4 linked regions of the Arabidopsis thaliana genome follow. The protein of the gene in region 1 interacts with the protein of each later gene in a pairwise test. Each region holds a gene or a part of one and is shown in the gene's direction. Other genes may lie near its edges. The genes, in order: AT5G38620, AGL53, AGL43 and AGL26.

What was found.
Region 2: the proteins of AT5G38620 (region 1) and AGL53 interact in a two-hybrid assay, tested with the Arabidopsis thaliana proteins (one large-scale study listed by BioGRID).
Region 3: the proteins of AT5G38620 (region 1) and AGL43 interact in a two-hybrid assay, tested with the Arabidopsis thaliana proteins (one large-scale study listed by BioGRID).
Region 4: the proteins of AT5G38620 (region 1) and AGL26 interact in a two-hybrid assay, tested with the Arabidopsis thaliana proteins (one large-scale study listed by BioGRID).

Annotation. Positions count from the first base shown.
Region 1 is NC_003076.8:15,461,720-15,469,811, reverse strand, and holds AT5G38620 (MADS-box transcription factor family protein), read left to right. Parts: upstream 1-4,904; coding exon 4,905-5,954; downstream 5,955-8,092. Other genes in the region: AT5G38640 (NagB/RpiA/CoA transferase-like superfamily protein), read left to right, coding at 1-361, 525-1,269, 1,363-1,459, 1,552-1,606, 1,730-1,792; CYB-1 (cytochrome B561-1), read right to left, coding at 2,301-2,597, 2,694-2,893, 3,250-3,298, 3,525-3,671.
Region 2 is NC_003076.8:9,521,633-9,529,151, forward strand, and holds AGL53 (AGAMOUS-like 53), read left to right. Parts: upstream 1-6,108; coding exon 6,109-6,972; downstream 6,973-7,519. Other genes in the region: RLP53 (receptor like protein 53), read right to left, coding at 902-3,778; AT5G27065 (uncharacterized protein), read left to right, coding at 2,697-2,972, 3,035-3,070. UniProt on the Arabidopsis thaliana protein: Probable transcription factor that may function in the maintenance of the proper function of the central cell in pollen tube attraction.
Region 3 is NC_003076.8:16,075,003-16,082,627, reverse strand, and holds AGL43 (AGAMOUS-like 43), read left to right. Parts: upstream 1-3,263; coding exon 3,264-4,238; downstream 4,239-7,625. Other genes in the region: UMAMIT40 (nodulin MtN21 /EamA-like transporter family protein), read left to right, coding at 153-303; UMAMIT37 (nodulin MtN21 /EamA-like transporter family protein), read left to right, coding at 893-1,110, 1,180-1,245, 1,328-1,441, 1,722-1,971, 2,049-2,207, 2,282-2,433, 2,661-2,814; UMAMIT42 (nodulin MtN21 /EamA-like transporter family protein), read left to right, coding at 6,540-6,733, 6,813-6,878, 7,069-7,182.
Region 4 is NC_003076.8:9,453,552-9,462,143, reverse strand, and holds AGL26 (tRNA (cytidine(34)-2'-O)-methyltransferase), read left to right. Parts: upstream 1-2,922; 5' UTR 2,923-2,953; coding exon 2,954-3,223; intron 3,224-3,300; coding exon 3,301-3,369; intron 3,370-3,443; coding exon 3,444-3,502; intron 3,503-3,620; coding exon 3,621-3,681; intron 3,682-3,752; coding exon 3,753-3,806; intron 3,807-3,915; coding exon 3,916-4,194; 3' UTR 4,195-4,453; downstream 4,454-8,592. Other genes in the region: AT5G26890 (uncharacterized protein), read right to left, coding at 1,428-1,679; AT5G26865 (AGAMOUS-like MADS-box protein), read left to right, coding at 4,463-4,843; LON1 (lon protease 1), read right to left, coding at 5,513-5,695, 5,784-6,434, 6,510-6,611, 6,735-6,902, 7,044-7,157, 7,290-7,394, 7,497-7,627, 7,709-7,833 and 3 more.

The DNA of each region.
Region 1 (8,092 bases):
TGATGGTGGGAAGGTGGCACCAGTGTCCTCAGCCTCGGTGGCTTCAACAAGTGTTAAAGCTGCTAAACCAGCGAAGGCTACATCTCAGAAGAATGATGTTGCTGTTGCTACTGGAGCAGCTGAGAAGAAGGGAGGTCCATCTGAAAAAGATAGAAAGAAAGATGCTCCTCATCCCCGCATGCAGTATGATGATGAGAGTAGAGTCGTGAAGGCTAAAAGACGTGCTGTTGTAAAACAGACCGAGGCTAAAAACAGGGTTGAGCTATTTAGGCATTTGCCTCAGTATGAGCATGGCACTCAACTTCCTGATCTCGAGACTAAGTTCTTCCAACTTGACCCTATGCATCCTGCTGTGTACAAGGTATTTGTTTTCTCTTGAATTTATCTGGTTGGTGCTTCTAATAAACTATTAATAATCTCTTTGTTAAAACAAGGAACCGTTTGTTCTAATGAGTGGTTTATATTGCTTCATTAAGATGAATGTTACTTGTATACTGAATGAGTATCAGTTGTTGTGGTATCAGGTTGGTCTTCAATATCTTTCTGGGGATATCTCTGGTGGCAATGCCAGGTGTATTGCGATGCTCCAAGCATTCCAAGAGGTTGTCAAAGATTATTCAACACCGCCTGAGAAGTCTCTTAACAGGGACATGACTGCGAAAATAAGTAGCTACGTCTCCTTCCTCATAGAATGCCGTCCGCTTTCGATTAGCATGGGAAACGCAATACGATTTGTGAAAAACAGGATTGCAAAGCTGCCTATAACACTTTCTGAATCTGAAGCAAAAGCTACTCTTCAGTCAGATATTGAACGGTTCATTAACGAGAAGATCATAGTGGCAGATACGGTGATAGTCAAACATGCTGTTACTAAAATAAGAGACGGTGATGTCCTTCTGACCTACGGATCTCCCACTGCTGTTGAGATGGTAATATTACATGCACATGAACTCAGGAAAAAGTTTCGAGTCTTGGTGGTGGATTCTCGTCCAAAGCTTGAAGGGCAGCTACTGCTTCGTAGATTGATCAAACGAGGCATTAACTGTACATACACTCATATAAATGCCATTTCATATATCATGCATGAAGTCACCAAAGTGTTTTTGGGCGCCTCGTCAGTTTTGTCTAACGGAACAGTTTATTCAAGGGTTGGGACTGCTTGTGTTGCAATGGTTGCAAATGCATTCCGTGTTCCTGTGCTTGTATGTTGCGAAGCCTACAAGTTCCATGAGAGGGTGCAATTGGATTCAATATGTTCCAATGAGCTTGGTATGCAATATCTTCTCTCGATATCAGTATCATCTTATACCGCCTTTGATTTTGTTTTACCTTACATTGGGTTTCTTGCTTCTTTACCTTTAGGTGATCCAAATGCTATTTCAGAAGTTCATGGAAGAGAAGACATAAACTATTTAGATGGCTTGACCAACAACGCAAACCTGCAGTTTTTGAACTTGATGTAAGCTTGTGTTTATCGGAGAAGTGAAACTATGTTCTGTTAATACTAATCCTCTCTGCCACTAAACTCGTTTGTGATTTTTCTAATGACAGGTATGATGCTACACCTTCAGATTACATTTCCATGATAATCACAGATTATGGCATGGTAAGATTAACCATCGTCTCTTAAAAACATAGCATTAGGTTCCTGAAGTCTCAGACCTATAAAATACAGTTTCTCCACTTATTCAGAATCTCAAACCATTGAACGCAATGTTTTCGTTTTCAGGTACCTCCCACAAGTGTGCCTGTCATCGTGAGAGAATATCAGAAAGAACACTTGCTTGTCTAAGCAAAGCTCATTTTTGCGAAAGCTCTTCTTCTCCAACCCCCTCCTCTAGCTCAGGCTCTTCTCATCACAACCCAGATAGAATAACTACCGGCACTGCCTCCCCTCATCCGCTTCTTTTCCTGAGTACCGGGTTCATTTTTTTTGGCCTTGACTTGTTTTTAGAAACTTTTGACTCTGTGAAGAGTGCGATTCATCATCCGCCTCTCCGGGAAGATTTTATCGATATCGGTGATGTTTTTCTTTGTCTGTGATGTATGAGTGAGGCTTCTCTTACTCTCCCTTCTCATGGAGGTTGATACAAATCTTTCTCAGATTCTATGCCAATTTTTGTTGGGTTCAGTCTTCAACATTGGTTACACGTGTTCTCATGCTTTACTTGTATTACAGTCATATATGCACTGCTCGTTAAATCAGTTCAAAAAGACTCAATTACATCACAAATTGTCTCTTAAATAAACAATGTTTCGATAGGTCGAAATGTTGAAAGAGATCTTTTCGAGGGTTTACTCTATTGTGTGAGAACTTGATCCTTGCCACTGACCGGAGTAACCACACCGAGTATCACGAAACCGCCAAGAATAAGGATTAGAACGCCCATTGTGTTGACTAACATTGCCTCTGTGGAATACCGAGTTATCACTTGATTCACTTGCAGGAACGTCACCTTCTCAAGTATCCCTGTGGTTGCAGTCACCAACGCCAATGCATATATGGAAATCCCTAAGAACACATGCCATGGCATCAAACTGGCTCTGCTGTTTCTTGAACCACCCGGGTACCAATAAGTCACAAACCCTGCAGCCCACTGTTTGTAACAATAGATTTGAGTGAGTTCTTGATATTTATTCTTACTGAGTAATGGAGATTGTTATTTTAAAACAAGTCAGAACAGAGAGTGTACCTGGAATGCAAAGAGAAAGAGGCAAGCAAGGCCGAGCCACGAATGGAGACTGTAGAAATTTTCGATCCCTTTGTCAATATGGAACTTGAGAGCAGCCCACACTCCGATCAGGCTTAGAATAAATGCTGTGAGTTGTAGTGTAAGATGAACCAGTTTTTTCAAGTTCTTTGTACCTTGAACTGACTTATATGCTAACATAGCTGCATAAGTTGAAGGTACCGTTCATGTTAGAAACGAAAACATGTCCATGGTCTCTTTACCGAATTAACAATGCCGTAACTAAAAACAAAAAAAACTAATCCTATGAGTCCTAAACCTCTTGACATAAAATTTCAATGTACTCAAATGTTAAAAAGGGCAATTCAACAGTTCAGTCTCTTTGACAAATGAAGTATGCGGAAATCGAACATGAAAACCGATACAACGAATACTAAAACCTCTTGACATTAGAATAGTCGCCAGACGGTAATATACTACAAATTTGAAGTCTAAAATATGAAGTTAAGACGGTAATATACTACAAACTCTTAACATGTGAAGGAGATTGTTTGCTTACCTTCTCCATTGAAGAGTATGAGTCCAATCACCATCATCACTGGATGAACCTAAAAACAAAGACATTTGACATCATCAGATATATATCTACCAATGATGACATTATACATCCAAATATGAGTCTCAGATCATAGCTTGTGATCACACAGAAAAGTAAAATCCAAATTTCAATATCTCAACAACACAATCAAGAAATATGAATCTCAGATACAGCAACAAGAACATTTCATCCAATCCATTTCACATGTGAGTCAAAACAACAATCGAGAGAATTACATTAAAGATGTGATCTTTGTTATCAGAAGAAAGAGCTAAGCCTCCTCTGTAATGAACAGTCCATGTCAAAACCAAAGCCGCGATGATGAAACCCAAAACTCTCACTACCATGAAGATCGGAAATCCACCCAGCACCGGAACCGCCATACTAAGCCCAGAAAATGCGAGTCTTTTATACGGCGATCAAAATCAGGATGAATTAGGGCTAGGGTTTTAGTTTTTAGTCGAATTTTGGGGATTTCTGAATCACCCCCTGTGTTTTAGATCGGCAATTACTCGACTTTGAGTTTGAGGTCAACCAGAGTGATTTGCCAGAAATATTATTTTTATAAGATTTTTTAATTATTATTAGTAATTTGATTTAAGGGTAAAAAAATGGAGCTTTGTGTCACTCACAAAACTGATTAGAGTAAAGATCTTTTGTTTATGTCTACTTTGCCTATTTTTATTTTTATTTTGAGAGAATTACAATGACACACACCCATAGATTTTTATTTCAGAGGCAAAACAGTATTGATTAATATTGAATAGTAAAAAAGATGAAATTCTCCAAAAGTATCTCTTTGTTATGAAAAATAAAGAAAGTGTGGCAAAGTGTAAGTCTTCCGGTCGTTAACAATGTTTTCTTCTGCTACCATGTAAGCTTTGTTAACTTCATAATCACATTTTAAGAGTGATACTACATTGTTGATCTTGTGATTAGAAAGAATAAACACGATAATGTGAAGAACCAACTATATATTTGTTTGTGTCTCTCATAATAATCTGACAATTTTTTTTTTGTAGAATCTAAGAAAATAATTATAAAACAAAATAACTAAAAATATCGCTAAATAAATATGAATGATAAGAAAATAACTAAAAATTATCAAAATAAAAATAAATAAATTATCTAACGTTCTAATTAAATACTACACTAATAAATAAATACTAAATTTGTTTATAAAATTAATAGTAATATAAATAATTTGGAGGCAAAATTTAGTTATTTTATAAATTTTGTTTTTAAACTATTAAAAAGAGTCTTAGGTAATTCTTTTTTTGTTTTTTTTTGTTTTTGTGTGGCGAAGGTCCATAGAGCATAGTTGAAATTATATATCTATTCTTGTCCATCTTTGAATAATTTATCATCAATAATGTTATGCTTGTACATAAGCAAATAAGAAAGGATGAAAAAAAAAAAAAAAAGGGGATTCTGGTGGATGGTTAGGCTTAGCCCATATTACGGTCCATGTGGTTTAATCGGTTAAGGAGGATGATATGGGGTTTCGATATTTCCTTTTTCATATGAGATTCGATAGTCCCTTATATATATGAGACTGAGAGATAGAAGAAGCCTTCACTTCAATTATCTGAAAATTGAGAAAAAAATCAATCAGAATGGTGAAAGGCACGAAGAGAAAGATTGCGATTGAGACGATACAGAAGAGAGATTCCCTTAGGGTTACCTGCACCAAACGCCGTAAAGGTCTCTATAGCAAAGCCTCTCAGCTTTGTCTTCTCTCCGACGCACAAATCGCTATCTTAGCGACTCCTCCTTCTTCTGAATCCGACGTCTCTTTCTACTCTTTCGGTCACTCCTCTGTTGATGCCGTTGTCTCTGCTTTTCTCTCCGGAAAACGTCCTGTTTCGGCTCCGAAGGATAACAAAGAGACGAGGGAGGACGTTGGTATCTGTTTGACTCGCAAGAATCTAGGGTTAGGGTTTTGGTGGAATGACGAGAGCCTTGTGAGATCGGAGAATCCTCAAGAGATTAGTGAAGCGATCGGTTCCATGTGGACTCTGTTGAGTAATCTCAAGGAGTTGCGTGCGGATGAAGCTTGCGTTAACGATCACAAGGACTTGAAGAAGAATGAGAAGAGCGATGTTCACGGAACTCAAGATCAAACCCTAATTTTTCAGTCCGCTTCTGCAGTTTGTTGCATCCCTGAAAATCTCAACGATATTACTCAAGAGCCAAATCAAACCCTAGATATTCAGTCCAGTAGTTCTGCAATCTGTTGCGTCCCTGATAAATCACCTGAAATTTTCAATGAAATCACTGAAGAACAAGATCAGATTCTCTCGATTTGTGAAACTTTTTGTGTTACGGATAATAACAACAACAACAACAACAACGCTGCTTTACCTGAAGTTAACCTATATTACAATCAAGACATGGCTATTGATCAACTCATTGACTTCAACACCCCTTTTGAAAGCTCGATAGATGATTGGTTTTCGGACAACACTACTCATCAGGAGACGACTAGTGCAAGTATTTTGAACGATGTTGGTGTTGATGATCAAGTCTCGGTGGATACAAATCCGTTTTCTTATTTTCAAAGCCTTGAAGATGCAGATTTGGTGTTTCAGAGATGTTTGGATGGAGATAATCTACGATTCTCTGATTGTTTCAATGACTTTGCAAACACTATTGCAGCAGTTTGAAGATAATCTCTCTGCAGTTTTCAAATCAACTTCTCTTTGTTATCTGTATGTATTGATTCTATTAGAGATTTATTTGTTCTAGCAATGTAATGAATGATCTGGTTTGACCTCGATCAGTTTTCCATATATGTATGAGGGAAATTGATCGAACTCAAACTGGTTCTCTGCTTCATCAGTTTGGTTTAATGATAATATTTGTGTTCTGTTTCTATGTTTTGTATTTGTAGTTTTAAGTCCAACAAACTCATGTCTTTTTATAAATCTTAATCGGATAAAAAAAAAGGAAATGTCTTTAATTTATGGCAAAATTGGTAGCTAACCAATGAGTATGATAAGAGAATCAGGTGAAATTTCGATTATATACATAGAGTTAACCAACTGGTATGCAATTGTATCATTTACACATTCTACAAAGAAATTGCCACTGAATAAACTTCAGGTTCCTCTGTTTCATTCTTAAAGTCTCAGAGTGGGGACCAAGATCAACATGATACAAAGTGATCAAAGCTAGATTATGTTCATTCATGCATGTCCTGCATACATTATGTTCATTCATGCATGTCCTGCATACTCCGATGCATGCATTGCAATGGTAGAGAAATAGAATGCCCTTCACTTTCCTCTTTTTAAATGCCTTTCAATCGAACATAGTCATCACTATTCAAGTAACACATTATCCAATGATATACGCTCTTTTTCTATAACTTAGATTCAAATGCACACCAATAAAATTGATCATATGACATATACAGCTTAAACAAATATTTTGTTTTAGGACCTAGCTAGATTAGCTTGTTAGGACCGCAAACAACAAATATACAGCTTAAACAAATAATTTGTTCTCTTACGACCGAGAAAGAGAGGACATGACCACGACCTTTCATAGAGTCATCTCCAGCAGTTTCGACGAGACCATAAGATTGAGATTCACATTACTTGCGTCACTATCGACAAGTATACAATTGAGAGACGGTAAAAAATAATTATACTTTATTTTTTTTCATCTATGGATACTATGGCATTATTTATGCTCTATAAAATGGTCTACGGTGACACAAGTAATATTAACTACTGCCGAGCAACTATGTCATTGTCAACAATGCAAACAGACCATGACTTGTTCATTGTGAAGCAAGTCATCCATAACTATCCTCAATGTATGACCTAACGAGGAAACTATATGAGAGAAATAGTAATTAAGTAGAAGATGCACAAATAAATGAAAGAATGAGAAATGTGGGAAGATACTTTTTTGGATGTATTCAGTATTTTTATATAATATCTCAATTAAAATACACATCTTTGCTGATCTTCAAACTCGAATACATGATACCTTATAAACTTGGGAAAAATGTCAATTTATTAATATAATTTTTTTTTTTGAGTAACTATGAAATGTATGTATTATAGAAGTAAACAAACTATTTTTTAAATCTTTCTATTACAAAATTTTGGTATATTTGTGGTGAACCAAAATATTTGTTACAAAAATTGATTATTTTTTCGTACAAAATGATTCCAACAACATTAACACTGGAGGAACAAAAGATATAAACAATGTAGTTTTTCCTTTAAATTTGAAGTTCATTTCAATATAAGTTTGAACTAAAATAACTAAATAATTTAAGAAAGTATCCCATTTAATTTAACAGTTAACATATTGCCTAAGTAAAGTAGATTCTTGAGGAGCTTGTCGATTTTGTTGTAAAATCCGTTACAAAATGAAAATCAAATTGTTCACAGTTAGTTGGAATTTTTTTTGGTTCACAGTCAATAATAAATGGAGAGTTATAGTATATATTTGGATCACTATTACTGAATTAGAAATAGAGTACTGATTGGATAATTTTAATTATAATTTCGTATTAAAATGAGACATTTACATTTGTCTAAATCGGAACTAAAGAAATACTCCAAAATAAAATCAAACATTTACATTTGTCTAAATTGGCGTATTAAGTTTATACGTATATTTGAAATGGAGAAAAATGTAAACGTAAAGAACGGTACTATCTTCCAATTGAAACTTAACTAACCTAGAATAAAATTTGAAGCAAATTTTTCACTTTGAATTTGCAATCAATTTTCAAAAGTAACTGTCCATGCAATAATGACATTTGACAACTTCTTTAATTTTC
Region 2 (7,519 bases), 5.9 Mb from region 1:
AATTAGCCCTTGGCATACTGCAGTCTGCAGAGGTCTATGTCTTAATTACCAAATTCATAGTTATATATAAAATGTTGTTTTCATTATATTTTAGATTCTTATTGAGAGTACCTCTACCAAAACATGAAAACAGAACTACTAGCGGAATTTTGCAACTTTACATGTCTTCAAGTGACGTTTTGTCTATCCTACCTTGAAATGCTACACAGACTTCTTGAGAGCTTTCAGAATCTAAAATAACTCGTCATAGTGGTGGTGACTTGCACAAACCCCTAGAGTTTAACATAAGAAACATGTTGTTTTTCTTTCTTCTATACTTTGTGTGTGTGTGTTTTCTATAACATGATTTTGTATATGACCACAGAAACTAGTATATATGGTTGTTTTTTTTGAACTCACTTCCATCGTTCTACTTCTTCGCCGTAAAAAGGTTTGGTTTTAACTATCACATGAAACTTACATTGCCATTAAACTAAAAGCTTTATATCACTCCAAATGTACTTATGGTTCACTTATTCACAAGCAAAATGAAAGGTATTAACTAGACATTTGAGAGTTCTTAGACAAAACAAATTAAACCATAAATGCAGATCTTTGTATATGAGCTTCATTTCTCTCATACCTCCTTCTCTGTTGTTATCTTTGGACACCCTAGGATTGTGCCTATAAGAAAGCACCAAATTCCAAACATAAGAGTTGTTTACATTTTTAAAAATTTCAGCGGTTTAATCACCGAAACAGATTTTCGATTGCTTCTGGGTGCTGTGTGCGAAAACGAAAGATCAAAGAGATATTTCACAAATTTCGGTATCAATTACGGACCTATATTCAAAAGTTTGTTCACGTAATTTATTCTAATGTTTGCTAACTAATTCGTTTTAAGAGTCAGAACATTACCTCTCTAGTGAGTTGTTTTGTGTCTTTTCTGTCTACGATTGTTTCGGTCAAAAGGGTTCATGAACCACTCTGGTTTATAGGAAACGAGTATGTATCCAAACATCAAACCAAAGGCAATACCAGGTCCGAATCCTATTGCAGCTGCTATCCAACTAATCAGATCTTCGTCTTCTTCCTCTGTTTCCGGCGTTTCAAACTGTTGATGTGATGCTGGCGTGTGAATATCTCTGCAAACTTCTTCAAGAGAAGAGCCGAAAAGTCCCAAGTTATCTTCAAAGGCAGAGCAATTTTGCGTTAGAAATTGCTGGCCTCCTGGTACTAGGCCTGCAAGCTGGTTATGAGAGAAGTTCATATACGCAAGGAACGAAAGGTCCCCTAGCTCTTGTGGAATCTCTCCTGTAAGCTTGTTCTTAGAAACGTCCAATGACTCGAGAGCTGTCAGGTTCCCCATAGATGAAGGCATGTGGCCACTGAAAGCATTGTTTGACAAGCTGAGCACGAGAAGCTCTTTCAATAGACCAATGGACTTTGGAATCTCTCCTTCAAATCTGTTTCCGGAAAAGTCGACTGCTGTGTAGATTGTGAGGATACGTACCAGCTCCATCGCTACACCTTTATTCATCAAAACCATTGAATCTTGGTAGTAAAGGCCTGATCCCATGTACTTTTCGTTAGACTGGTCTTCGTTTTTTCCAAGTGATGACATAGCACTCCACTTCACAAAGTACTCTGTTGGCAAAGTTCCATTGAAGCGATTATGTGATATATCGATGATGCGCAACTCAGGGAATGTGGCTTCATGTATTGGTCCATGGAATGCATTGGAGCGTAATACAAGAACTTGTAGCTTCGGTAGAGAACTCAACCAGAAGGGAAACGTGTCGTTGATTCTGTTGCTTTCCACGTTCAAAACTTCAAGAGTAGAGAAAAAACTCAAAGATCTTGGTAGCTTTCCCACTAGCTGGTTATGGCCGACATCAAGAGACCTCAGTATTTCAAATATTTGCTTTGGAAGACCTCCGCTAAGATGATTCTGACGAAGGTTTAGAACTGAAAGAGTACTCTTGAGATGTCCCATGCAACGAGGGATTGAACCATTAAAGTTGTTGTCAGATAAATCGAGTGTGTTTAGAGAACGCAACCCGCATATGAAAGAAGGAATCTTGCCTATGAAGTTATTGTTGGAGCCAAGCAAGTACAGCAGAGATGGTTCAGGTTTCGATGGTCTTTGGAAACCGATTAAAGTGTTGTTGGAAAGATTCACGTAGTACAAGATTGGTAGCCTCCATAACCAGTCAGGAACTTGACCTTTGATTTTGTTGTTGGAAATGTCTAGAAACCCCAATTCGTGTTGGGTTCTTACGAACTCTGGAAATTCAGTGATACCGCACCCTGACAAGTACAAAGATTGTATCAATTGCGAAGGAGGATCTGAAACTGAACTTTTGTTTGTGGCCGAAACATGGTTGCCTGAGAGATCCAATAAAAGGAGCCTTTTGAAATATGATAAGAAATAGTTCAAGTCGATCCTAGTGGTGGTGTTCAAATGGGATATGTTTAGATCTAGGAGTGACTTGAGATGGGAGAAGATACTAAAGTCAACTGGGCCTTGGGTGTTTAAATGGGAAATGTCAAGTCGGAAAAGTTTGACTAATTTGGAAATGGAACTAGGGATTGGTCCTATGAAGTTGTTGTTGCCAATGTCTAACTCATATAGGTTAGATGGTGAAGATATATTTCCAAACTCAAGAGTGCCTTTGAGTTGGTTACCATTCAAACGAATGTAAGTCAAAGAAGGAATGGTGAAGAGAAAAGAAGGGAACGTTCCGGTGAAGGCGTTGTCACTTGCATCAAAATCCATCAAGTTGGATAGTGAAGTGATATTAGGAGGAAGCGTGCCTGTGAACTTATTGTTGGAGAGTGATAAAAGTGACAACCCTGTCAAGTTCAGTAGGACATTGGGAAAGTTTCCGCTGAGCTTATTGTCATCAACATATAAGCGGGTCAGCTGGTTTAGATTGCCAAAAGAAGATGGGATTTCACCAACGAAATTGTTACTAAAGAGGCCGAGAAAGGTAAGTTGAGAAAGGTTTCCAATAAAAGATGGAATCTGACCCGAAAAATTGTTATTAGAAAGGTCGAGAGTGGTGAGATTAGAAAGATTTCCAATTGAAGATGGAATCTGACCCGAAAATTTGTTACTGAAAAGGCTGAGAGTGGTGAGATGAGAAAGACCTCCGATAGAAGACGGAAACTGACCAAAAAACCGATTATAAGAAAGATCTAGAAAAGTGAGATGAGAAAGATTACAAATTGATGATGGAGCCTGACCCGAAAATTGATTATCAAAAAGGTTGAGATAGGTGAGACGAGAAAGGTTTCCGATTGAATTCAGAATCTGACCCGAAAAATGATTAGAAGAAAGGTCGAGATAGGTGAGATGAGAAAGATTTTCAATTGATGACGTGATTTGACCTTTAAAATCATTAAATGAAAGGTCTAGAGTGGTTAGGAAATGAAGGTTTCGAATACTGCTGTTGGAATGAAACCGGCCATGGAGAGAGCTGCAGCTTAGGTCTAGCTCGATCACTTCCCCGGACTTGGCATTGCACGTGACTCCCTCCCAATTACAACAGTCGCTGTTATTCCCCCATGAGTCCGTCTTCCGAGGAGATTCAATGCCATAAATCTTACAATGATCAGGAGAAGGCTTCCCAATCTCAAACTCGTTTTTGAACGCGAGGAGTGCATCCCTTTGTTCGGGACGACACAAGTTCCTAGTTGGAGCCGCAAGCACGTCCAGAAAATGACAAATGAATAAGAAAATAAAAGAGAGAGTAATACGAATGATACTCTTTGAGTTCCAAAAGCCTTCCATCATTCTTAAGCTAATTTAATTTTCTTGAATATTGATAGTGAAAAAGCAAAAAAATAAAATCTGGAAATTGTGATGGTACGTAACATGTTTTCATGCCCATCTCTTTATATACAAAAATAATAGACTCTATTCCACAAAGATAATTCCAACACAGCTTGACCCTCCGAGGCGTTTTTCACGTTAAACGCAACGACTTAAAAAGTCTTTACGTTGAATAATGTCCATTTCCACTCCTTTTGTCTTACTTTTTAGTTACGTACAGGGAACATGAAAAAAAAACGTTGTATTTTGTCCAGCCAAATTAAATTGATCGTGGAAAATGAATTCTGCAGGTAAGCAATGACTTGTTCATTGTTACTAGTGCTAGTGAATAGTGATGATCGACAGCGTCAAGAGTCAATCCCCATCGATGTATTAATTTTGCGCAAAAAAAACAACTGGGCTAGGGCCCAACAATGAAGGCGGATAAAAGAAAACGAAGGCCCATTTTACCATATGTCAGCGAACTCGGAAGAGTATAAATATTCCTCTTTGTGTTTACTTAAAACTAAAATTTGGGACTATTTTATAAAAAACTAATAAGGCCGCCTAAATAGGCGGGTGTGTGATTTAGATGTAAATCTTTATTGACAGTATTCAAATGTTGAATAATAAAATAGTAATTTATATTTTTTTTGACAATTAATTTAATATTTTTTTATTTAACAAAATTTGATGCTTATACATTCTCTTTTATCATACATTTTAATTCTACACATTCAAGCTTATTGATGATATTTGAATTCTAAATAATAACCTACAAATTTCTATCTTACACATTCAATTTTGCAATACAATTTAAGTATCTATTTCATCATAATATACTCGATTTTCATTCTAAACACTTCATCTTAAGTGAATTTTTTTTTATTAAAAAAATATATTTATATCAGATCTAATATATATCTTTGTTGATATTAAAAAAATAATAAACAGTAAACAAAACTTAACAAAAAAAAAATCCACAAAAATATTTGAAAAGCAAAACTTTTTAAAATGTTTCTTTATATATGGCGTAATTTTCTCTTATGTAAACTTATTTTAAATGAGTTAAAATTAATTAAAAAATATACTAACTTCTTTTTAAGTAATTGAAAAGTAAATCATATAAGTTGTTCTCTCCAAAAATCTTGTGTTTTAACTTATGACTACATGCGTTAAATTTTTTACAATAAAACATAGTTATAAGCTTTTAGTGACATATCAAAGGATCCAAGTTGCTCAATCACCGAATACGTTAAAATTCTTAGAATAAATCTTAAATATTTAAAAATTTATTATAATAAGGTCACTAAATTTTAAAAATATTTTTGTGTTCAAAATTTAACAAATGAAAACACTATATTACAATGATAAACACAATTTTATCCAATTAAATTAATTTTAAATAAATTATATTGTTATTTTAAACTTAAGTGGTCTTTTTAATTAGTTATTATTCATACTTAATGATTTTTCTTTTAAATTAATACATGATTATTTATTTAATTGACCAATAATATATGTGTTTTCAAATTTGTTAATTTTCTTTTTTGTTAAGAAAAATAAAGTTTAAATATTGTTAGATATATATAAATTAATATATGTAAATTTTTCTTTTTAAGGTTTTTTATTTTTTTAAGAGAATTAAAAAGTTAAATCTTTAATGACACATGTAAACATCTCAATGTTAGATTTGACACGTGCCACAATCTTATGAGGTAGTAATTTTGAAAACTGTACTTTATATAATAAGAAATTAATATATGTAAATTTTTCTTTTTAAGGTTTTCTATTTTTTTAAGAAAATTAAAAAGTTAAATCTTTAATGACACATATAAACTTCTCATTATTAGACTTGACACGTGCCACAATCTTATGAGTTAGTAACTTTAAAAACTATACTTTATATAATAAGATACTGGATGTGGGAAATCGTATCTAAGATCGTATCTACAACGGTTACATTGATATTGGTAAAGGAAAATCGTATCTAATTAAGATTTATCTCATAGACAGCAAACAAAAAGGGAATTTCATTACTTAAATATCACAACGGTTAGATTAATAGAAGTAAATCATCATCATTTAACGAAGAAAAGATACTCTAAAGAAAAAGGAAATAAAACCCACAGCTCAATTTGTCTCTCTTGGTTTAGTAAAATCAATATCAAATATTATATGGAAATACAAGAATTTCACAATTCTATATAACCCTGAACCGTGTGTTAGTTACACTAAGTTTATTTTCTAGGTTTCTCTCTGATAAGAAACTAGGTATCTTCTTCTTCTTTTTCTGTGGGTAAACAACAACAATGGATTCTTCAATGTCGACGAAGAAGAAAACCAAATTGTCTGTGAGAAACCAAACTTGTTTCAAGAAATCGTCCCTGTCTTCTTCTTCTACTGCAAAAAAGACCACGAATTTGTCTATGAGAGAACAGACCATGTTCAAGAAAGCCTTGGAGCTTTCAACTCTGTGCAACATCGATGTCTGTGTCATATACTATGGTCGTGACGGAAAACTCATCAAGACATGGCCGGAGGATCAATCAAAAGTTCGAGACATGGCTGAGAGGTTTAGCAGATTACACGAGAGAGAGCGATGCAAGAAAAGAACCAACCTTTCTCTGTTTCTACGTAAGAAGATCCTCGACGACACTAAATTGTCGGAGAAAGTCTTAGAGATGGAGGATTCGTTAGAAAGTGGTCTACGAGTACTACAAGATAAGCTTCTGTTACTCCAACCCGAGAAAAACCAGACCGAGTTTGGTCAGACCCGTGCGGTTTCTTCCACAACGAATCCATTGTCTCCTCCTCCTTCGCTAATTGAGGATCATCGTCATCAACAATGGACAGAACCATTGATGAGTGGTGTGTCAAACACAGAGCAAGACCTATCGACGTCATCATTGAGTCAAAATCAGAGCAGAATTTCAGTCTTTCTCTATAACCATGACAACCGTAGCTTCTATCAAGTCCCTGACTCAGTTTCTAGCTTTGACCAATCGGCTTTACTTGGGGAACAAGGATCTGGTCTAGGAAGTAACTTTGATCTTCCTCCCATGGTTTTTCCTCCTCAGATGCAGACACAAACCCCACTTGTCCCCTTTGATCAGTTTGCGGCATGGAATCAAGCACCGTCGTTTGCAGATCCAATGATGTTCCCTTATAATTAGTTCTTGTTGTTCCAAAAACTGATCTTTGACTTGGTGTACGTTTTATAATGATCTATTATATATGTATTCTTCATTTAGATTATGAGTTTAACTGTCTCTTCTTGTGCCTGATTACGAGTTTGTATTGAATTGTATGTTTTCCCAAGTATGAATGCTATTTTCTCAAGTTTCTAAAAACAGTCTTGGCTTCTTCTATAATTGTCTGAGTCTTATATTTGAGTTTGAAAACCTGCTATGTTCAGATTTTTAATATACAATAGATATTGAAGGTTAGATGTCGATAATTTATGCAGAGAAGCCAACTTTGATGAGTCAGATGCTTTGGTGACAGCTTCCAACAAAAAATGTTGTTAAAAGTAGTGTTTTGTCCAAGAGGTGGAAAAACTCTGGCTTTGTTGGATATTTGATGCCAATGAATTTGCAGATTACAATGCCTAAGTGAGTTTTGTCTACGTATATACGCCAATAATGAAGCTATACAGTTGCTTATCTCGTTTTACCCGATTCTTGAAGATTTGAGTATTGCAATAAAGGGTACATGATAACG
Region 3 (7,625 bases), 610 kb from region 1:
CATGAGCTCTCATATATGGTTTCTTCTGTATTATTTCACATGTGAGAAACACTTAGTCTCCACAATTCCACTGTATATCTCTGTGTAAACTGCAATAAGCATTTTGAGACAGTAATAACGTATAGAAGTTTTGCATATTTTGTGTTGGGCAGTGTCATTGGATCAATGATATTGTGCATTGGATTCTACACTGTGATTTGGGGCAAAGCAAGAGAGGATACAATCAAAACTGTAGCTGGTTCTGAGCAGTCACCTTTGCTGCTTACACATATCATAGAAGATGGAGCCTTTCCATTAAGCTAGGATTGATGCAAGTGAAATCCTTATACTATTTATTAATAAATATGGATCCCTAAAAGAGGTGTACCATATATGTCTATAGTTACATATAAGATATCTGTTCTTTTTTTCTTGTTTTATTTTGATGTTACATATGAATGAGAATTATGAATCTATAAGAAATATTTGGTCCTTTTAATTATCTTATCAGTGCGTTCACAACCTTACATAAGTTTCTGGTAGATAAATCCCTGCCCTCTTTGAAGAGTAAAAGAGGTAGAGCTCCATGGCCAAATATTATCTTTCTAAGGTATAGAGCTTTCTTTGTAGATGCGTAGTTTCTTGATTTGGAAGATCCCTGATTATCTGGATCGGATCCTTCATGATATGTATTTTAGTTGAATTGTAACAATGGTGTAAAGTATTGGTTAAGTTGGTGTGAAGTATTGGTCAATGTATATATTAGTTGTGACAATGATGTAAAGTATTGGTCAAGTTGTTGGAGTAATTTATCTAAATAAAATAATTAGCAAACGTGAGGTGATTAACCACTATGATTTCTTATAAACTCACGTTGACTTCTGAGAATTTTTGAAAGTCTGACATCAGATCTATGACAAGAGGAGCAGGAGGGGAGACAGTGGCATGGAGTTACTTTTGCAGAGATGTTGTGCCGTTCACTGCAATGGTCGCGGTGGAGTGTGTTACGGTTGGATCTAATACACTGTTCAAGGCTGCGACATTGCGAGGATTGAGCTTCTATGTCTTTGTCTTCTATACCTATGTTGTTGCTACACTTGTTCTTCTTCCACTTTCCCTCATTTTTGGAAGGTACTGATCTCTTCAAGTACTCTTGACCAGTATAAAAATTTCAAGAATGTGAACATAGTTTATGTGCAGGTCAAAACGATTACCTTCTGCCAAGACCCCTGTCTTCTTCAATATTTTCTTACTTGCGCTTGTTGGGTAATGATATACTCCTTATACTACCAGATTTAGCCTCATTTACCTGTTTTTCTTTTCTAGTTTGCTAACTTTTGGGAAACAGGTTCATGTCTCTGATAGTTGGTTGTAAAGGTATAGAATATAGTTCACCAACTCTTGCCTCTGCTATCAGCAATCTGACACCAGCTTTCACATTTACGCTCGCCGTTATCTTCAGGTTCCACCTCTTTTTCTTTCGTTTCCGTTCTGGGATAGTATATAGATAATTTAGTTAACAATGCGGTAGTTCCACACTTATTTAACCGTTCAAAGTTTTAAGCCTTTTGCTTTTGTCACAGCCACTAGTACAAGTACAACCTTGTGGTTGCATAAAAAATGTTGTGCCCACATGTTGTTCTAAGAGACAGAGAGAAATATGGGTAAACTAGAGGGGTGTTTGTTTCTATCAGCTGAACATTTAACTCTTGTTGTTACTGCTTCCTTGTGTGACTCAAAAGAATGGAACAAATAGTCTTAAGGAGCTCCGCGACTCAGGCCAAAATCATTGGCACGATAGTATCTATATCTGGTGCTTTGGTTGTTATTCTTTATAAAGGCCCTAAAGTTCTAACTGATGCATCTCTTACACCTCCATCACCTACCATTTCGCTTTACCAGCATTTGACTTCATTTGATTCGAGTTGGATAATCGGAGGTCTTTTGCTCGCTACACAGTATTTGCTTGTTTCAGTCTGGTATATTCTTCAGGTATGAAAAAGGACATTGGATATGTTGGTGACACTTATATAACTCTTGCTAAATGTGGTAGCTCTATATGATTTCAGACTCGGGTCATGGAGTTATACCCTGAAGAAATAACTGTAGTATTCTTGTATAACTTATGCGCTACGCTTATCTCGGCACCAGTATGTCTATTTGCGGAAAAAGACTTGAATTCTTTTATACTTAAACCGGGTGTCTCCCTTGCTTCAGTCATGTACTCGGTGAGAATCAATCCTAATATGTTGCTTCAAGTAATGATTATATTTTAAGCTCAGAAACTAACACTCTGTTTCAGGGAGGCTTAGTTTCATCATTTGGCTCAGTTATACACACTTGGGGTCTGCATCTTAAGGGTCCAGTCTACATATCCTTGTTCAAGCCGTTGTCTATTGTCATTGCGGTCGCTATGGGTGTTATGTTCCTCGGCGATGCACTTTACCTTGGGAGGTACTTTATCTTTCACAATCTTCATAAATATCACACACAACATATTATCTAATATCTAGGTGCCATAACATTCAGCTTTAGTGCCATGTATCTATCCATGGAATTACATTGAGAGTTATATGGTTTCTGGTTTTAATTCGTCACAAGTCACACTTAGCCGCCATATATAGTTTCTAAATATTTCTTTCGAGACAGTACTAATTATCCGGCATATATATTGTGTGTAGTGTCATTGGATCATTGATTTTGAGCTTAGGATTCTACACTGTGATTTGGGGAAAAGCAAGAGAGGATTCAATCAAAACTGTGGCTGGTACTGAGCAGTCCCCTTTGTTGCCTTCACACACCATAGAAGAAGAAGCCTCATTAAGCTGTGACTGATGCAAGTGGAATCTGTTAAGAGATGGTCCCCATTGATGTTTACGTATAGCTACACTACATTGTACATATGGTAATTTTGTATGTTTTTCTTTCTTGTACTATTTCAAGTTAAGGATTTTTAATTAATGTAAGACGACTGATATTGCCAGTTAGGAAACCTTCTCTTATATTTCCATTTTATCAACAACCCTTAACGGCTCTAAACGCAAAATCTATGCAAATATATGGAAATCGAATCTAAAAAAGCGCACACACACATATCTTTACGCGTTTTTTCACCGATCAGCGAGAGTGATAAATATTTTTTCAAACCCTAGTGATCAAAATATATCTCTAATTCACACAGTTTCCTTCTCACTTTCTTCATCTTTTTCACAAAGCCGCCAAAGTTTGTCTTCGTGTTTTCTCTTCACTCTGAAACAGAAAGTTTGTCTTCGAAATCAACAATAATGACTATGCGATCATCTTTACCTTCTTCCTCTTCCGCTTATTCACTCGCTTCAACAAGTTTGAGCAACAGACTTGAGACCATCTTCAAGAAAGCTTCAGAGCTTTGCACTCTCTGTGATATTGAAGCCTGCGTCATCTATTACGGACCAGACGGAGAACTCAAGACATGGCCTCCGGAGCGAGAGAAAGTGAGAGACATTGCTCTTAGGTATAGTCAATTAAACGAAGCATTGAGACGCAAGAAAAGCGTTAATCTTCATGGGTTCCTGAACAAGAAGAAGAAGAACAAGGGTTTGAAGAATACGGACAAGAAGAGGAAGACGAGTCTTAAGAAGGTGAATGTTTTAAAGTATCCACTCGCTGATCATTACCCTCCCGACCAAGTTTCTCCACTGATTCAGTCCTTGGAACTCCATGTCTCTAAATTCCACGAAAGGCTTGAATTTCTTGAGTCGCGGAAACAGAATGAGACACAACCGGATCACCACAGTTTAGCATCATCCTCTCTGAATCATCAGACCCAATCTTTGAACCCTAGCCAGTTCTCGCTGTTTATGTATAATCATGGAGACAATACTCTGTCTCAGATCCCAGTCTCTGCATCAAATTTCAATCAGGATTATTTCTCAGCGTTACTTGAACAATCTGAGTTGAAGAATCAGTTAATGAAGCAGGAGATTTGTGGTAATGATCAGAATCAGAACATGTGGATGGGTAACATCACCAACAACAATTTTCAACTTCCTTGCGTCTCAGTACAAGAATCTGTGAACAACTTTGGGTTGATGCACAAGGAGTTTTATGGTTGTGATCATAACATGTCTGTGGGTAACATCAATAGCAACAGCTGTGAACATCCTTGCGTCTCAAGCACACAACATTACTCGGCGGTAGAAGAATCTGTGAATAACCCCTGGTTGAATCAGTTGATGCAGAATGAACTTTATGGTTACGGTTATGCAGACTTTTGTTAATTTCTTATGATTAATTCTGTGTGTCTAATGTCTTGTTCTTAGGTGTGTTGTTGTTCTGTATTCAGCTAATATTGTAATAAATTTTGAATCATCATCCCTAGAAACATTAATTACTAAAAGCCAGTCTTATGATCTATTTCTGATTTCTCTCTTATGCATAATAAACTCAAATTTCCAATAGAGACTCTCAACAGAGCAATAACTGTGTATGTGTGTGTTAGTTGTATAAGTAGAACTAAGCATATGTGTTCCATTGGGAAACACCAGTTATATGTTATAATAATCTGAATTATCTCCAGCTTTTTTATGGTTATTAGTTGGATAGTATGAAGCAGTACATGCACTTTCACTTTCCATACAGGTAGCTGGTTGTAAAGCTATTGAATATAGTTCCCCAACTCTTACCTCTGCTATCAGCAACCTCACACCATCTTCCACCTTCATACTTGCCGTCTTCTTCAGGTTCCACCTTGTTTCTTTCCTCTCTGTTTGTAGAAAATGAACAACCGAGTGGTTCCACGTTAACCATACAAAATATATGTTTCTGAAACAGTAACAATCAAATATGAAACAATATCAGAACACAGACAGTAACTGTCAAATATGAAACAATACCAAAATGCAGAAACATTCTCATGCCACTAATTGTGGTTGTACTAGTACAACCTTGCGGTGATATCAACATGTTAGCCTATCATTCTTTCCCGAGAAACTTCTGATGGATATGAGGATTTTTTGTGACTATCAATTTTTTTATCTGGTGACTTATAAAGGATGGAACAAGTAACACTAAGAAGCTCTGCAAATCTGGCTTAGATCATTGGCAAGATAGTATCGATATCTGCTGCTCTGGTTGTTGTTCTCTATAAAGGCCGAAAAGTTCTTGATGCTGCATCTTTTACTTCATTCGAGTCAAGTTGGATAATTGGAGGCCTTTTGATCACTTCACAGTATTTGCTTGTTTCAGTCTGGTATATTCTTCAGGTACATATACTTGGAACTGATTCATGAATGAGATTTTGGGTTTTGTTGGTTACACATAAACTTAAGCTAAATTTGGCAGCTGTACATGATTTCAGAGTCAGGTCATGGAGATCTACCCTGAAGAAATAACTGTAGTCTTCTTCTACAACTTATGTGGAATGCTAATTTCACCACCAGTTTGCAGAAAAAGACTTGACCTCTTGGCAGCTTAAACCGGATATTTCCTCGCTGCAGTCATATACTCGGTTAAAGTCAAACCTTTTATAACCTGCTTCAACTACTGACTCTTATCTTTAAGCTCAGAAACTACCACTCTGTTTCAGGGAGTATTTGATTCATCATTGTGCTCGGTTATACACACATGGGGTCTCCACCTGAATGGTCCAGTGTATGTATCCTTATTCAAGCCGTTGTTTATAGCAGTTGCAGTCGTCATGGGTGCTATATTCCTTGGCGATGCACTTCACCTTTGGATGTGCCATATCTTTCAACTATAGCGTCTCTTTCTTGAGAAACATAAGTGATATAAACTTAGTTATCTTAGTTATAGGTTGTTGAAATGTTTAGTCTCATGATCTTCATGTTACTATGTTGCATCTCTGTGTTGTGGACAGTGTGATTGGATCAATGATATTGAGCTTTGGGTTTTATACTGTGATTTGGGGCAAAGCAAGAGAAGATGCAGCCAAAATAGCAAGTCTTTCACAGCAGTCACTTTTGTTGCCTAAACACAACAAAAGAAAATGAAACCTTACCATGAAGATATGTTAGATGCAAGTGAAATCCTTTAATTACTTACTTTTGGACCCATTAGAAGATGGTTGGTCCCTGTTTATACAGAGCCAGGGTAAATAAGAATTTAGTTTTAGCTTCTCTTCTAATTTCTTGGATTCATCTATTGGTTTTGTACCCATTTGAAGATGGTCCTGGTTTATCTTGTCTATCTATCTATCTATATAGATGTCACATGTTTATACGTTTTGTAATTATTTGATGATGTTTGATGAGGATATATACATCCATCTATAATTTGTTTGTCAATAACTTTTTGTATGTAAAAATGAAATATGAAACGTGTGTTTTAATCTAGCCACAACATGTGTAGGAATCCATTTAATTACAATTTTTCAGAGACCACATACATTTCATACCCAACAAATAAATGTTTTTTCAACCAATAAGAAGACAACAATTAATCATTTATTTGATGGAGACTGTTTCACATGTCTTTTCCCATCAAGATCCCATGAACTAATAATATATACAAATTTCAGAGAGACAGAGGCTTAGAAGAAAGAAGAAGCCAAGAACTAAAAAATGGTTCATGGAAGGTTATGTAACAGAGATGGCTGGATCTTGACGGCGATGGTGGTGACAGAGTTTTCTAACGTAGGAGTAAACACTCTGGTCAAAGCAGCGACGTCCAAAGGACTTAGCCCATTTGTGGTTCTTGTATACTCTTACACTTTTGGATCTCTTCTTCTTCTTCCTCTTACATTCTTCTCCTTCAGGTTCTTCATTCTCACGATTCTGTTTCAAGTTTTATGTTAAGTATTAAGTAATTTTTCTTACATAGACTTATCTCTACAGATCAAGATCTCTCCCTCCGTTGACATTTTCAATTCTATGCAACATGGGGATTCTTGGTCTAATTGCGTAAGTTACTTTTATTTTGGAAACACTATATCTAGTAGCATTTGCAATGCATATATCTTCCTAGCTAGGTTTCAAAACCAATTATTAGTTGGTTCTTGAATTGCATATAAGTGTGTATTCAAAAAAAATTGTTTTATGGAAGAAATTTCTTACTTAAATTTGTTGTATTTGTACTTCATAAAAAGAACAGAAGTGCGTTTCAAATCTTAGGCTACAATGGGATAAAATATAGCTCGCCGACTTTATCTTCGGCCATGAGCAATGTCAATCCTGCTTTTACCTTCATCCTCGCCGTTGTTTTTCGGTAAATTCTATTTCCCAAATATTTCAAATCATTAATTAGTCGTAATCATTTTTTTGTTTCTTGTAAAAAGTCGTAGCCATTTTAGCTTTTTAATTTTCTTTGCTTTACGTTATAAGATTTTTTATGCTTTAAGAAATCCAACGATGTTGTTGTTGACAAAAAGGAAAAATAAATCTCTCCATGGTTGATGGAAATTAAAAAAGAAAAAGATCTCTATCGTTTTAGTTAATGTCACATATATAATCATAATTTCTTCAATCATCGTTTCACTAGTAGCTCGTTTCTCGCCGGAAGACTCGCGCTAAGTCCACGAAATATGTTTTTTAGATTAATTTTATAATATAACAGCATGAAAATTTGTCCCATTTTAATATTATTGAAAACGTTTGTCTGAAAAGTCAACAAAAGAAAAAATAAAATTAAAACGTGTATGGAAAAGCATC
Region 4 (8,592 bases), 6.0 Mb from region 1:
AATGGATATACATTTTCGTGTTTTCTCATAAACTTTTCTTGACATCCATGAGTCGACATAAGTATGGAGTTGCCAGACAAGACACTGGAACTCACGGCGGCCAGCGCAGCCTCATGGACCAAAGTTTCAAAAAAAGCTCATAAACATCAACCAATCTTCTTGCATAACCACCACATACCCAGCCTTATGCGTCCAATCACTTTCCGTCTACGCAAATGACATCCAAACATTTTTCAATTCAAAAACAAAGGCAACAAATTCAACAGATCTAACAAATATAAATTTAAATTGAAGGATAAAATCATAAAATTAAGAACACATAACATAAAAAAAAAGTTTTAAGATTTACAATCTAAAGCCTAATCTAGAATCAACGAATAACATGTAACATTGGCCTTTATGATTCAAAACCAAAGAAACCTTTTACCCAAAAAAAAACAACGAAACCAGAAACCATAAGTAAGACAAGAGAGAAGAACATGGAACCAGAAAAAGAGGGAGATTAAGGGAAGAGGGAGCTTTGTAGCAGAGAGTAAGGATCTCCTTCTTCTTCATCTCGAAAAGGAGAAATCGATGATGTTACTTTTTTTTGTTGGTCACAGTCGTTCATTGATGGAGGCTGCAGATAATGAAATGGATTTGATGACGGAGAATGGAGAAAAAAAAATACAAAACTGAAAAAATAAAGGAAATTTAGGGTAAACATAGATTGTGATTGTGAATTTTGAGATAACCTCAGAATTTTCATAATTTTGTAAAAATTATTGAGAACGACTATGATTTGAAAGAGGGATTGAAAATGATGAAAACAAAAGAATATGGAAGGGATAGATGATATAAAAAAAAAGTTTCTCACCCACACGATCTTATTAAAAATAAGTTTAAAAATTATTGTGTTTTCACCACTTCAGGGGCAAATTAGTCCAATCTCCTCTCAAAAAGATGGCAAAGTGTCTTCTCCCTCATAAGTGCCTCAAACGTAAAAAGATTCTCACAAAATGCCTAATAATGTCACATTCCCTTTCTTTTTTGTTGCTGTCCTTAAATTAATTATCAGTAATTACATTTACTACAACGGTTAGATTGATATTTGTAAAATCGGATCTAATTTAGATTTTCTCTATGATATCAAACATACAAAGCATTTTTATGAGGGAAATTAAATCTAGAGGATATCTAAAAATAAATTGTCCATCTATTTCTTTTTCTTATAAATTAATCAAATAGGTTTTTCAAAAAAAAATAAGTCTTATTTACCCTCATTTTATTTTATAATTAAAATTTCCTAATCTATTTATACAAAAGAAATACTAGTTTAAAGTAAAATTTTGAGAACCTAAATCCTCTAAATGTATTAGACTCTTTCACAAACCCTATCTTTTGTCTCTCTTCCTCCTTTACTCGATTAAAAAAAAAAGCATTCAGCTCTATAATTTTTTTTCGGGCGAACTTACTCTCCACATGTCGCAGGCGATTTCTTTGCCATCTCTGTTGTCGTCGTCGCCGGCGATTTCTTTGCCTTCTCTGTGGTCGGCGTCGTCGTGTCCAAAGTCACCTGAATCTTCTTCATCACCGTCGTGACCACTCATCTCAACCTCCCTTCCTTCTCCGCCACCAAAACCGCCAAAGTCCGCCTTCAGAACGGTGTCGCCGCCGCTCTCTTCCCTCACAGGTCTCATCTCTAAGAACTGTTTCGATTTGTTAAGTTCTTAGAATCACTTGGTTGGTTCTTAGTCTTTTCTCTCAATTTTGTGTCTCATGAAGTGTCAATTGCAATTTGCATGTTGAGCTGTTAATTTTAGTTGCATGTAGATTTAATAATTCAAATCTAATAAATATTTATTTTCTTTTTTCAAAGATTCACTTTTTATATCTATTCTAAATAGTTTAGAAACAAAAAACTAATTTGGGTTAAAATATAAATTCTAAAAGTGAAAATTTCTAAGAAAACGTGTTCTAGTGTTTTCAGAAACTATAGAAATTCTTAGAATACAATTTCACACATAGTTTAGAACATGAAGGAATTTTAGAATACATGTTCTACAATTTTTAGATATTGAATATCCTATTTTCTAAGATTGTTAGAAAGAAAAATAGTCTAAATATTGTAAAATATGTACAAAATATTAGAATAGAAATTCTAAACTTAATAGATTACTAGAAATCGTTTTCTAAAAAATTTAGACAAAATTTTATCTATCAAAAAATCAATTTTTGTTTAACTAAATAACAATTTTTTTTTTTACAAATCAACTATATTCTTGTAGATCTACATGTTATTAAGGTCAAACTTTTTCAAAAATGCTTAAAATATAAAGTAGGGGTATTTTGGTTCAAATTGAAATTTAGCAAAAAAAGGTTATATAGACAAAAAAAATTGTAGAACTCTTTTAAATTTAATTTCTCCGTGACTCAAAAAAAAATTAGGAGTTTTTACTACAATTATTGAAAAACCCCAACGGTTAGATTAATATCAGAACCGTGTTACATAATTATCAGAGTTTATTTTCTCTTTGATGAGCTATATTTTTTTATTATTTTTTTGTGTGTAAACAACACAATGGGTTCTTCAATGTGAAGACAATAATTAAGGGTTTTTGCTTACCTTAATTAATTAATTAATAATTACCTTACGACGGTTAGAAATAGGATCTAATTTTAGATTTCATCATTAAATGAAGAAAAGATATGGAAATCAGTATGAAATATGGAAATCGATCGAATTTAAAAAATTCTATATAACCCGATTGTATGTTTTCTTCAAAATGTAAAATATGGAAATCGAATTTAACATGTCAACTTTCACTACTTAAGTTGAAGTAGTACCCTTAACCCAATTCATCTTTAGCGATTAGATATAGTATTGAATGGGCCTAAAAGTATCCGGCCCAATTGATTAATATCTTATTTGACGTCGTGGAATCTGCGGGCGGCGGAGAAGGGAGGCGAGGGAATGGAGAGTTGCTGTCGGAGCGTCATAGCTTCAAGGACGTTTCATCTGCGGTCAAGTGGCCGTCTATTTCCCTCTCTTAGCTTAACTCATCTCAAGGGCAAGCTATCTCTCTCCATCAACTCGTTTTCCTCCAAGATTCAGTCTCATGCTCTCCGAGGAGTTGGTATAGGCGAGTCAGATAAGAAAAATCCCCTGCCGCGAGGGGCCGGAGAAGGAGTCAAGGAAGATGCGAGGAGTAAGCTGCTTCATGTAGTTTTGGTCTCTCCTCAGGTTTGCACTCTCACTGCTACCTTTGGTCTTCTTAGTACATGTTGATGGATCTAAACAACTTATACTCTCCTTGACAGATTCCTGGGAATACAGGTTGCATTGCAAGAACATGTGCTGCCTCAGCTGTTGGTCTGCATTTAGTCGGGGTAAAGTAACCAAACACGACTTGTTCATTATTTCCAGTGTTGATGACTTAATCTGTCATTTGTTCCTGCTTCAGCCATTAGGTTTTCAAGTGGATGACGCCAGAGTTAAGCGAGCTGGTTTGGATTATTGGCCGTATCCTACCTAATTTGTCTACTACATAGGAATTGAGAAATGAGAGTTTACCCCACTGTTTTTGTGTTAAGGTTTAGTCGCTGTCATTAGCTCTTCTTCTTCTTAACTTAAAGCATAGCTTTGTGGTTGTCAAAGCGCATAGCTCATGGGCTGAGTTTCAAGAATATTTCAGGCTTCAGGTTTACCACTTGTCCTTGAGTAGCTAAAGTCCCTATGTGTGTGTGGTGTCTGATATTTCTCTTTGGTTTAGGAGGGAGAAAAACGAATGATAGCTTTTACAAAAAGAGGAACAAGGATACATTCAGTAAGTTGCTTGCTTGTCCTTCCACCTCTAGTTTATTGTTTACCAACCAGAAATAGCAACAATCACTAGCAATTGGGTAGCTGAAAACAATGGTTACAACTTGATGCAGGATTTTTCTTACCGATCAGGCGATTACCTCTTGTTCGGGTCAGAGACAAGCGGTCTACCTCCTGAAGCGCTGTCAGACTGCAATCACGAACCATATGGAGGGGGGACCCTACGTATTCCCATGGTAGAAACGTATGTGAGATGTCTGAATCTTTCGGTGAGTGTAGGGATTGCTCTGTATGAAGCGTCCAGACAACTTAACTATGAGCAAATCGAGTGTGCACCTCAAGGCTGTGTGAATGGTGAAGAACCATTGTTGACAGAGGATATCTTTGCTTGATACATTGGATGGTTGCAAAAAGGAAGACGGAGACGTAGAGGCATAGCCATTGGTGGTTGGTAAGCATTCATATTCATCTTGAAGGAGTCACTACCCTAAACCCTATTGTATCTGTATCCCAATTCTCTCCTTCAGAGTTTATTTTCTCTTTGAGAACAAGCTAAAAGCTTAATTTTTTTCCTATCTCTGTGTAAACAAAACATCACAATAGATTCTTCGATGTCAAGAAGAAAACCAAATTTTCTGTGAGAAGAAACCAAACTTGTCTATGAGAGAAGATACAATGTTTAAGAAAGCCCTCGAGCTTTCAACTCTGTGCGATATCGAAGTCTGTGTCATACTTTATAGTCGTGACGGAGAACTCATCAAGACATGGCCGGAGGATCAATCCAAGGTTCGAGACATGGCAGAGAGGTTTAGCAAACTACACGAGAGAGAGCGACGCAAGAAAAGAACCAACCTTTCTCTGTTTCTACGTAAGAAGATCCTCGACAACAGTAAGCTCTCGGAGAAAGTCTTAGAGATGAAGGATTCATTAGAAAGTGGTCTACGGGTACTACAAGATAAGCTTCTGTTACTACAACCCGAGAAAAACCAGACCGAGTTAGGTCAGATCCCCGTCATCAACAATGGACAGAACCATTGGTGAATATCGGTGTGTCAAACACAGAGCAAGACCTATCGACGTCACCATTGAGTCAACATCAGAGCAAATTTTCAGTCTTTCTCTATAACCATGACAACTGTAGCTTCTATCAAGTCCGTGCCTCTGTTTCTACTTCAGATATCAGATTATATGAGGTTAATTGTCTGATGAAGAGTTTGTGTTGAATTGTATGTTTTTCCTAAGTATGAATGCTATCTTCTCAATCCTATTTTTGTCTGAGTACGAACTAAGAATATATATACATTTCATTACATAGTTTAATAGTCAAATTACCCATCATCTAATCCAGTAGAAAGGAATATAAAACAGAAAATTATGCCAACAAGTTACTAGTCTGTTATGAAGTGTGATCGAACACATAGCAACAGTGAAAGTAATACGCGAATATGTTGATGAAATTACAAGCACAAAATGAGAAACAACTTTGTTTTTTTTACTTTGTTCTGATGTCTTATTATGATATTTGGCTTTGGTTATATACCAAAATAATAAAATCCAACCACCAATAAATTACCCTAATCATAAAAAAAAAGTTACAGAATAACTTTCTTCTTGAAGGAAGAAAAAGATCAAAGAGAATCAAGAATGGTAGTGTTGTTTAAATGGAGACAACAACAGATGACAAAAGGTCAACGTGGCTTATGTGTGTTCTCAGTCTTCTTGTTTGTCATAGCCAAAGGCAAGCTCGAAGATCTTTCCATAGTCATCCACGAAGTGAACATTAAGCCCTTCTTTCACATTCTCTGCCAGCTCATCAAAGTCTCTCCGGTTTGCCTCTGGAAATATTATTGTTTTAATCTGACTCCGCCTCGCCGCTATAGTTTTCTCTTTCACCTGTAACATTTTTGTGTACATTGTCAAAAAAGGAAAAAAAAAGAGAGGCTCTAATAGAATAGAGTGAGAGAAGTCCGGAGTTACTTACCCCACCAATAGGAAGAATTCTTCCGGTTAGTGTGACTTCTCCAGTCATTGCAAGGTCCTTCCTAACGGGTTTCTTCGTGGCAAGTGATAGTAAAGATGTGATCATGGTGCAGCCTGCACTTGGACCATCCTTGGGAGTGGCTCCTGCAGGAACATGGAGATGAAGCTTGGAGTTTGCAAAGAACTGATTCTCTGGTTCTTTCTCTAGCATGATCTTTCTGGCGACTGTGTGAGCAATTTGTGCACTTTCTTTCATCACATCACCGAGCTGACCCGTTATATTCAGGCCACCTTTACCTTCCCCTTCCTCCACAACAGTCGTCTCTATGTACAATGTTGAACCACCCATTGATGTCCAAGCTAGACCCATCACAACACCTACCGGTGTCTGCTCATAGAGCTTCTCTGCATGGAATACCGGTTTTCCTACATAATCCGCAAGGTTTGACTCATCAATCATAACCGTTTCAATAGCTATCTTCTCGGTTTGGGCCTCTTCCTTTGGTTCTTCAGCAGAGGACACAGTGTTTTCTTCGACAGTATGATTCTCTATGGATTCGCCAACATCAGCCACGATTTCAGCTTCTTCAGGATCACTTGCAACTGCAGGCTCTTCGGGGACTGCTCCTTCACGCACTAATTTAAGTGCAATCTACAACAGAAAAGTAAATGGTGTTCGACATTGAGGGCTTGAGGAATCAATTCGGAGTCTTGTAGCAAAACTTACCTTACGGTAAATCTTCTCGATCTGTTTCTGGAGATTCCTAACACCTGCTTCTCTGCAGTAATTTTCTATCAAGGAAAGAAGCGCTGCATCACTCACCTCAACCTGCATAGTACGAACAAATTGACGAAATCTTAGAAGTATGTGATTCATTGATAATCACTCACTCATTTTAATTTACCGAGAGTTAAAAGAAGAGACAATTGGAGAATAGGATGAAAGTGAGACCTGTTCAGGCTTGACACCACAATCTCCACGTGCAGTTTTTTCCAAATAGTCTCTTGCGATATGAACTTTTTCATCAGTGATATACCCAGCAATAGAAATCACCTCCATTCTGTCTAGCAAAGGATTTGGAATCATGTCTATCACATTTGCTGTGCACACAAATAAAACCTGTAGGGAAATGGATCAGCAATTAAATTCAATCGGCCTAGTATCACATGAAACAAAATGGTATTCATATCCATCTATTGGTGGACAGAACATCATGAAGAAAAGAAATACAAAATTTGGTCCTTGACCACATTTAATTACCTTTGATAGATCTATAGTAACGTCGAGATAGTGGTCCAGAAAATTTGCGTTTTGCTCTGGATCCAGAAGCTCCAACAAAGCACTGGCCGGGTCACCAGCATGGCCTCTCCCCAGCTGCAAAGGAACAATATAGCAATTTATTGCAGAGAAATTTGTCTTTGGTAACTAGAGATTGAAACAGTATTGTACTGATGAATAAAAGAAGCTACCATATGATGACAAATATCAAAACAAAAAATATATTACCTTATCAATCTCATCGATTAGAACAAGAGGATTTGCTGTCCCCACACTCTTTAGACATTGCACCATCTTTCCTGGCATGGCGCCAACATATGTCCGACGATGCCCCTAAACATGTAATTACAAGAATGGTTTTTTGTTTCTAGGAAAGAATTCAGTCACAAATGTTTGACTAATATTTGCAAGTATACCAAAACAAAGGTATTATACCTTGATCTCAGCGACATCTGCTAACCCTCCAACAGAGAACCGGAAAAATTTGCGATTAAGAGCACGTGCAATAGACCGCCCAATACTAGTTTTGCCTACTCCAGGAGGGCCGGAGAGGCAGATGATTTTCCCTGGGGACACATTTACTCAAATTTAAGGGGACAAGTTTTTTTCAACAAGATCAAATCACAATTACTGGATAAGTATCAAACCTTGTGAAGTGCCTCTAAGTCTTCCCACTGCAATAAATTCCAGTATTCTTTCCTTTACGTCAGATAAGCCATAGTGATCCTCGTCAAGAATTGTTTGCGCCCGTGCAACATCAAAGTTTTCATTACTGCAAATTTAACAAAATAGATTCCTCAAATCAGTGAACACAAAAACAAATGGTGCCATGAGATGAGAGCTCATCCGTCTCTATATCAGTCTCTCATACCAAAAGACTTACTGCTTTACTTAAACAGAAAAAAAAAAAAAGATATATGAAAAGTAAAAAACCTGTAATTTCCCCAAGGCAATATGGTCAACCAATCAAGGTAGTTACGCGTCACGTTAAACTCGCTTGAACTCGCCTCTAACAGCTGCAGCTTTGTAAGCTCTTCTTCTATGACTTGTAATACATGCGCTGGAATTTTTTCCTTGTTAGGCTCAATCCTTTCCTTAAACTTTGCTGCAGTAAAGAACAGACTATAAGTTGTGGTTGTCATACAATTAACAGTGCACGGCTCTCCAAACTCATACCAAAGACACTGACGTCTCATGAATGCATTGTGATCCATGAGGCAGTGAAATTCTAAATTTCTAACTAGGATATAAACTGACTACATGTAATTGAAGATAGTTTAAGACTTTAAGTTCGTACTGACCAGAAAGTGCAGATTTGTCATCTGTCTCCACACCAAGCTCCTGCATTGGATGACTTAAATGAATCAAACCAAATATGTATATATATTACACAGACATGGTATGTGGATGAAAATAGCAAGCATATTTTGTGAAGCGGGCTGAGTAATACCTTCTTTATAGCCTTGAGCTGCTCATTTAGCAAGTAACGACGTTGCTCACCGCTAATTTTTTCTTCAATTGCTTTTGCTAT